Canis lupus familiaris: one gene and its partner. The protein of the gene in region 1 interacts with the protein of each later gene in a biochemical or structural test. Links are inferred from orthologs where the notes say so. Each region holds a gene or a part of one and is shown in the gene's direction. Other genes may lie near its edges.

Region 1 (3,810 bases):
CACCTCAACCTGGCAGAGCCAAAACCCACTTGGGACGCCTCTTCCCTCTACTTTTGTATTCTTTTCTTGGAGGCAGCCTGCATTGTGGAAGCCATTTGTTTGGTCATTATTGCACAGTGTCAGACCATTTATTTCCAAACATACTCCATTTTTAAGACTTATTTTCTGCGGCATAGCTATTTAATTTGGGGGCGAGTTGGCAATATCTCTAAGGATTGTGGCGCTTCGCTGGGTGGCACTTGCTTCCTTTCCCTCTGAAGCTCTTCATTTGCAAGGCTGCTGCCACCAGTCACATCTGAAGACCTACACAGCCAGACAGGACAGCGTTGCCCGCAGCACACGTGTTGGAAGTCCACAGACAGGGAAGGCATCCTTGGAGTTGTGCTTAATTCCTTACTTGGAGAACTTGTTAGCAGACTACCCAGAAGCGTAAAGTGAAGCTATATTTCTACATACACTTTTATGGGGTGTCTTATGTTAACTGGAATTTATTCCATGGACTGCTAATCTTTTGCTCTCGGCCAGGTTTGAGGCATGAAATCTAAATTTGCATTTAGGTTGTCATCTTTTTGAATGTGTGTATATATATATTTGATCTTGAATTTATCCATTTACTTTTCTTCTCATACATTTGGCACATTGATTTTTTAATAGAAGAAGTTGGCAAAGGATTCCAATCCTGGGCCTTTTCTCAAATTGATATGCTAGCATATTAAGGAATCCAGTGTTTATCCAAGGTCAATTTCATTTTTCAAGACCCAGATTCTTTTTCTCCTGCCCTTGGCAGCTTATGTGGAGTCACCAGTGGTTCCATCTTAGGCCTTGTGGTTTACGTATCAGTTTTATTCTGAGATTTTGGAGACTCACACACACACCTACAGTGACGTGACCCACATTGACTTCTTTTGCAGGCGCTGCAGGCCCACGACTCTTCACCATACACCAGATTGATGCTTGCACTAACAACCTGCCGAAAGCCCACACTTGGTAAGTTGTTTTTGAAGCTTTTCCCCTGCATTCCATGTACGTAGGTGTTAGGTTTAAACCGATTTGAATTTGAGATTATGCAGAAATTGGTAGGAAAGCCTGAAAGTGGCAGTCTCTACTTTAGAGGAGTACAACTTTTTCTTTTAATTTTCTGTGTGTCATGAAATGTGATGTGACTGTATTAGTATACACTTGCTAGACCAGTTTGCTTATTCTGAATGAACTGTGTCAATCTGATTTGCTCATTTACAGCTTCAATCGAATAGACATTCCGCCCTATGAAAGCTATGAAAAGTTATATGAAAAGCTGCTAACAGCCATTGAAGAAACATGTGGGTTTGCTGTGGAATGACGGACTTCAAGGATTTACCCAGGACTCTATTTATACCCCGACCGACAGCCTCCTTTCAGCAAAGTTTCGCGGAATGCTGAAATACAGGAAAATGCCTCCCCCCCCCCCCAAAAGATTTTTAGGACACTGTGAGGGGAAAGGACAATTTTGAAATTCCTTTTCAAGGAAAAAAAAGAGGTCTTTATGCTTTGCCATGAGGCCACACTCAGCTGCTATTTAAAATTAATATCTTGAACCTAAAGAATGCTGACTTTTCCTACATTTCCAGAGTTAGGCAGTATTCTACACTTAAAGACTACTACTATTTTTATAAAAGGTAATCTATTCAAATTGCTCCACAGATTTCAAGTCTCTCAAACATCAAGACAACTTCAGCAGTCGGTACACGTCACATTTCATTTTGATTGAATACATGATTTTGAACAGCTCCTGTACTTGCTCTTTGTAAAAGAAAAATAAATAAAATTATTTTGAATTATTCTACCTTTGTAAACAATTGGCTAAAGGAATCATTATCTTTAAAAAACAATTAAGCCATTTACATGTTTAATTACATTTTTCTATAGCAAAGCATTATATTTTAAAAGCATTATATGTTTCAAACTAGCCTAAGTAAGTCTTTTGTATATTTTTCAAGCACGAACTTCCTGGAATACAGCCACATAATTTTGGTTGTCAGATTCCTAATGCAACCATTTAGTCTAAACTTAGCTTATTTGATACAGTAAGATGCATTCAGGGGCTCCTTTTTTTAAGAGACTTTTAAAAAAATCCTAATTTTTTTATCTTGAATCAGTATGATCAGGTATTTGGGATTTACTTCATCTTAAATGGAAATACTGCATTTTTATAGGTCCTCAGATTGTTGGATGGGATGGGATTTTCATTCTTTTGCTGGGTCAGCGTATCTTTAATATATATACTATTTCTGTAAACCAAAGTCTCCTATGACAAGTGCACCTAATTTATATTTTAATTATGGTCTAGCTTTCTATCAAGTAAACCATCCACAATCTTTGTTTAGCTGCTCAATATTTTAATCAGCTAAAATTATGACAAAGGAAAAATTTTATTCAGCCAGCTTAGAAAACCCCTGTTTTTACCTAACAAAATGAAGGTAGGGGTGAGGAGGGGGTAGGATTACTGGAGAAATAGTGATTCTGAATCTATGGTATAAATTACTTTAGAACGGAAGAATTCTGTTTTGGAGGTAAGGGAATCCCAGTTCCCTGGGTGTTGATCAGTGTCTGATTTTGAAATACCCAGATTGAGCTTTCAAGGTGTGTGGCATGTTGCATGATCCAGAAGGTAACCAAAATTCTGGAGTAAAGGATTGAAAAAATCTGAAGTCATGGGTGGCTTTTAAAATCCAACTATCAGAAATCTGCACTATATATATTTTTTCTTACACAGATGTGAATCAAGAAGGGCAAATTTTGATGAGATAGCTCCTTGGAAATGTTGCAGCTTAATTATCAAGTGAATAGGCCCTTTGTGTTCTTTCATCTGATGGATTGGTTTTCAGTCTGTGTTCACGAACCAAGGGGTTCCTCTGAGGTGCCTCAGAAGTAGTGGTTTAAGAGAGAAGGGGATGGAGGGAGAGGAGGGGCCTGGTTGGTATTTGAGTTGGAGCCTCTAACTCCCCACCCTCAACCCCTTGTACAGGAGCAGCTCCCAAGTCCTCTCTTTTATGTATTGGAATTCCAAGTAAGTTTTCCCAGAGGTGGGAGGTGGAGGCGGGCGGGGATAAAAGAAGCAGAAATTTTGCTGTTTAGAAAAAAAGAGTTGAGAACTGCTTGTGTAGTTTCGAAGCATTTGAATTTATTTCATTCAGCCAAATTGGACCGCTACATGCAAGCTAGTCGTAGTCCTGTGCGGTGGTAACGTGCTTCCACTGACCTTTTCCTTCCCAGACACCTTGTGTCTTAGTAGCACTCGAGAACATCTTGAAATGTACAGAAAAGGTTTCTAAACTCCATCAGTTGTCAGCTTTCACGGTAGTACCTTATCGGCTGCAGACTCATCTCTTGTATGTTATATTAAAGCACTAGTGCAGTGTGATTGTGCCTACTGTTACAATCTTCCAAAAACGAAGTCCATGCTGAACACATTAGAGAAGTCCTAACCAATGGATGCAGGAGTAAATGCTACTATCATAACGTACAGTAAAGCAGGCTAGTACCATCGCTTTTGAGTGCCTTTTTAACTTTATAATGATGACTTAATAGAGCTTTAAAAGAAATCTACCCTAGCAGTCTATGGTATCACCAACATGATTTATAAAGACATGATTTAGATTTCATTTTTCAAAATTACGTTACCTGATTACTTCCAAACAGGTGCTAAGCAAACTAAACCCCCACTGTGTCATTGAATCTGAGACTCGCCCCTCATGTGTAATGTGAATATTTATTTCCACACATCCCTCTTAGCTGGGTTTTTCTGCTCCCTGCCCCTAGTTGTGTTATTCC
Region 2 (4,291 bases), on another chromosome or scaffold:
ATCCGGTATTACCTGTTCCTAAGGACTGATGACGATGCGTGCTGGCCAGGGAGCCAAGAAAATGGTGTTTGTAGTGCTGGCTCTGGCACCGACAGCCTGCCCTAAGACCTAGGTCTCTCTTCATCTGTAGTCCTACGGTGCTCGCCGCCAAACATAGTAGATGCTTAGTAAGTAAATACTTGAACGTGATTAGTCGGGGTCCATGCTTCCGGCCGAGGCTTGGTGTCTGCAGGGTCAAAGCGACAAGGTTACGGCAGTGCGGATGCCCAGCCGCCCCCCCGGCTTTGGGCGGCCTGGACGGCCTGGGCGGCCGGCAGCTTAGGGCCTCCGGGTCGGGGCCTGCGAACACCGCCTGGACGCCGGAGAAACGAGGAGGAAGGGAGGGCCAGAGAGCGGTGAGGAGCATCGTGTTAGGCTCCTAGCGTCTAGACCTGGCGAGGGCCTCTCGGAGCATGCGGCAGTCGCACCACCTTCCGCGAAGGCGGAACCACGTCCCGGCTCTTCAGAAACACCTGGCATCCCCCCGCCCGCCGCGGGGGCCCGGAGAAGAGCCCCGCCAGCGCCGGTTTGCGGCTCGGCCCCCGCCCCGTTCGGCTGCACGAGGGCCCCGCCCACTCACTCGGCGCGGTCGGCCCGGCCCCGGCTCGGCGCGTCCTCGAGGCGGCCCTCGGGCCTCCCCCGGGACGAGCACGTGTCCGCTCGCGGCGGGGTCCGGGCGGTGGGCTCGGCGGCGGCCCACGGGCCCCACCCAATGGCGCGGGCAGGACGGCGGGGCGGGGCCGGGCCGGGGCCGGCAGCGCGGCAGGTCCCGCGCCTTCCCGCCGCGGAGCCGCCCGCGGCAGCGCGCCCCAGACGTCGCCAGCCGAGGCCGCGGGCGTGCCACCCCGCCTCGGCCCCGGCCGCCCGCCCGCCCGCCCGGCGGCCGCGCCTCGCCTCACGCTCTACGGGGGAGGCGGGACCAATCAGCGAGCGACGTCTCCCTTCCGATTCGAGGCCCCCGACGCGCGGCTCACACCCCGAGCACCGCGCGCGCTCATTGGCTGCGCGCGCCGCCGGTCCGGCCGGGAGGGCGGGGCGGCCGAAGGGAGCGGAGGTGGGGAGGTAGTGGCCCGCGAGTCTCCGAGCCCCGCTCGCGCCCCGGCCCTTCCCGGGCGCTCGGCCTCCCTCCTTCCCTCCTCCGCTCGCCCCGTCTTCCGTGCGCGCCGGGCGCTGCGCTCGGCCGGCGTGCCTCGCGCCCTAACGGGCGGCCGGGGGCGCCAATCAGCGGGCGGCAGGGTGCCAGCCCCGGGGCTGCGCCGGCGAATCGGCGGGGCTCGCGGCCCGGGGTGGGAGGCGGGTCTACCGCGCGGCCGCGGCGGCGGCGGAGCAGCTCCCAGCCAGCAGCCAGCGAGCGCCGAGCCAGCCGCCCGAAGGTGGGTGCGCCGCGCCGCGCCGCTGCGGCCGGCGGCGGAGGGCGCAGGGCGGAAGCGGAGGTGGGCCGGCGGGCGCGGCGGGGGAGGGCTCGGCCGTCCGGGCGGCCCGGGGCGGGGGGCGGGGGATGCGGGCGGGCTCGCGCCCGAGGGGAGGAGGGGCGGCGGCGCGGCGCGGCGGCGGCGGCGGCGGCGGCGGCGGCGGCGGCGGGACGCGCGTCCCCACCCCCTCCCTCCCGCGGGCGGTGGCCGAGCCCGCGTCCCCTCCCCGCGCGCGGGGCCGCGGGCCGGGCACTGGCTGGGGGGCGGGGCGGGCCGGGCCGGGCCGGGCGGCCGCGGGAGTGTTTTCAGTTCCGCCTCCAGTCGCCCCTTCCCCTCTCCCCTCCCAGCCCCTCATCCCATTCGGAAGAGGAAGGAACAAAAGGTCCCGGACCCCCGGCTCTGACGGGGCGGGACCCGGAGCCCCGGTGCAGGTAAAGCGGCGGCGCCCGGCGGGCCCTCGGGGTAGGGGTGTGTTTGCGTCGGGCTCGGGTCTCGGCGAGGCTCGGCGCGTCGCACGGCCCTGGGGGCCGGGGTGTGGCGGGGTCGGGGCCGGGGGCGCGGGGGGGCGCGGGGGGGCGCGGGGCCTGGGTCGGCGCCGGAGCTGCCCGGCCGTGGCCCGTCTCCCCTGCCGCGAACACGCTTCGTACTTTGTGGTTCTGATTTTCAAAGCCGGAGGGACCGAGCTCTTCTTGTTTCGGGAGTTGTTGGCAAGCCCTGGTAGGAGCGTGCGATACTTCGCTTCCACTTTTTTTTTTTTTTTTTTTGGTCCTGTAACCTTTGTTAACCATTCTAAACCCGGGGTTCGGAACTGCTCGCGTGTACTCTGCACAAGCAGGCACACGGCTGATCCTCCGTGGAGATCCTGCACTCACTTGTGAAAGTTGCCCTGGGAGTGGAGCCTGTTGGTTTTTATCACACGCCTTTTAGAAAGCACGCTAATTGATTTCACGTATTTCAAACTTGGTTTACACATTTGCAACCTTAATGGTTTTGTTCTCTCTTGGGGGATACTGTCCTTGGGGTTGGGTACTTTTGCCTTTTACTTACTTAACCTTTCTGTGGTTATGGTTTCCTTTTGATCCTAAACAAAAGAAAAAACAATACCTAGGTTGGTTTTGGTGTTCCTTCCTCTTGACCCCTTAAAAGCTAAATACTACCGGCTGGTTGTTCATTAAACCATTATTTTAAAAACCATCTCCGGGTGGAACGATTCTGGAAGTAGCATTTTCCGTGAAAACCGTGTCTTGTTTGTTACACTTTTAAGTGTCCTCAATTTTGCTGTCTTGAACTTCTAAAGTAACACATGTAAAGTAACTATTAATGAATAAATAAATGGTCACTGCAGACCTGCTTGGAGTTATTCCATTTTTCGAAAGTGCCCCCCCCCCCAAAATCTGAGTTAATTTACAGAATTTTTAATGATTCTGCAGTCTTAGTTCCTTTCCATTTTCCTTCTGAATTTTGTGTGAATTGAACCTGTACCACTGATTGTAAGGAAGTTTTTCCTTGAGCAGAATAAGAAAACAAATTTGCTACCACTCTGAAAATACATTTGCTATTGTTCTACTTTTGATTTTGACTCCCTTTAAAAAGTTTTTCTTAGGTAGAAGTGTAAGTTAAATAGTTAAATGAAGTTTGAGGAGTTTTAATGTAAATAAAGAGATAAGGGAAGCAAATGTAACAGTTGGGAGAGATAACGTGAAACGGATTTCATAAATGTGTCCTAGTTTGAAGATTTTATTTTTTCATTTGCTTTGAAAAAAACCATACAGGATATTGGTGGAATTTTTCTGAATCAGACGGTCATTTACCAAACATTTACATTAAATTTAGAAAGTAACGCTGACTTTATTTTTAAGGTTCCTTAGTTTTTGCCATAAAACTAGTTACGGTAGTAAATAAGAATATTTTGAGTCCAGGTGCTCACTTAGTTCTCTTAAAGTTGAGTTTAAGGTAGTTCAGTGGCCAGTTTTTATAAATGTGATAGGAAACATCCATTTCTGGGCTTGTTTAGTAAGAAATCGCTCTTTGGGCTTCGCTTTTGTACTTTGTAGCTATGCCTTCTATAGTGCTTTCACATTGTAGGTGTTCAGCAAGAGTTAGGTTTTCGTGGCTGTAACTTCTTACCTGTGCCTAGGCATAAGTGATCAAATCTCTACACAGTCTGTAAGGTTCATGTAATAATAGTCTTGTAAGAAACCATGCAGGGTAATTTCCTGTTGTTTGTGGCTTGTCAGGCCCGGTATGTGTTTTAACTAAGTAGGGATTTGGGGATGGTTTTGTGTATTTCAGCAGTCCTTTCTCTTTAATAGGAACAAAGCTGGTTTCTACTTCAAGATGGCAAAAGGTCCCCTTTTCATTTTCCTACTGTAAATATTAGAATCATATTGCCATAATCTTGTTACTTCACGTTGGGGGGAGATATGTGAGTGAAAAACAGTTGAGCTGCATCATCCACTGATCAAAGACCCATTTTTATATTTAGCAAATATTTTCAGTTTGGGCTTTTATAAATGTCTGAAAGCTCCCCTTATTCTTGTTTGGTTTTTATTCTGTTGGTTTTGTGCTTTAGGGCTCCAAAGGCCTTGTTTTGTAGCAGCTTTTTATACAGGTGTTTTTGTAATGCATATAAAAGCTGTATTTAGTGCAGTCTGGCAGATGGGGGCTTATTCATGTTCTTGGGACAAGTCCCTTTTAAAGGATGGAGAGGGGCATGTCTTTTAGATCCCTTGTCTTCTGATGGGAGGAGAGGAACCATTTTTAAGCTTTTAGTTTTTGTAAGATGAAAGCTGTTTTCCACTAAGTATTGCAAGGGTATGTCAGAAATGAGAAGTCCAAAG

Evidence for each region.
Region 2: the proteins of SMURF2 (region 1) and SMAD2 form a complex in vitro, tested with the Homo sapiens proteins (3 studies listed by BioGRID and IntAct, with this or other methods). The link is inferred for Canis lupus familiaris from reciprocal best matches to the Homo sapiens genes SMURF2 and SMAD2.

Annotation. Positions count from the first base shown.
Region 1 is NC_049230.1:14,572,249-14,576,058, forward strand, and holds part of SMURF2 (E3 ubiquitin-protein ligase SMURF2), read left to right. Parts: intron 1-911; coding exon 912-987; intron 988-1,239; coding exon 1,240-1,339; 3' UTR 1,340-3,810. UniProt on the Homo sapiens protein: E3 ubiquitin-protein ligase which accepts ubiquitin from an E2 ubiquitin-conjugating enzyme in the form of a thioester and then directly transfers the ubiquitin to targeted substrates.
Region 2 is NC_049228.1:43,687,323-43,691,613, forward strand, and holds the start of SMAD2 (mothers against decapentaplegic homolog 2), read left to right. Parts: upstream 1-1,314; 5' UTR 1,315-1,412; intron 1,413-1,798; exon of another isoform or gene 1,799-1,882; intron 1,883-4,291. UniProt on the Homo sapiens protein: Receptor-regulated SMAD (R-SMAD) that is an intracellular signal transducer and transcriptional modulator activated by TGF-beta (transforming growth factor) and activin type 1 receptor kinases.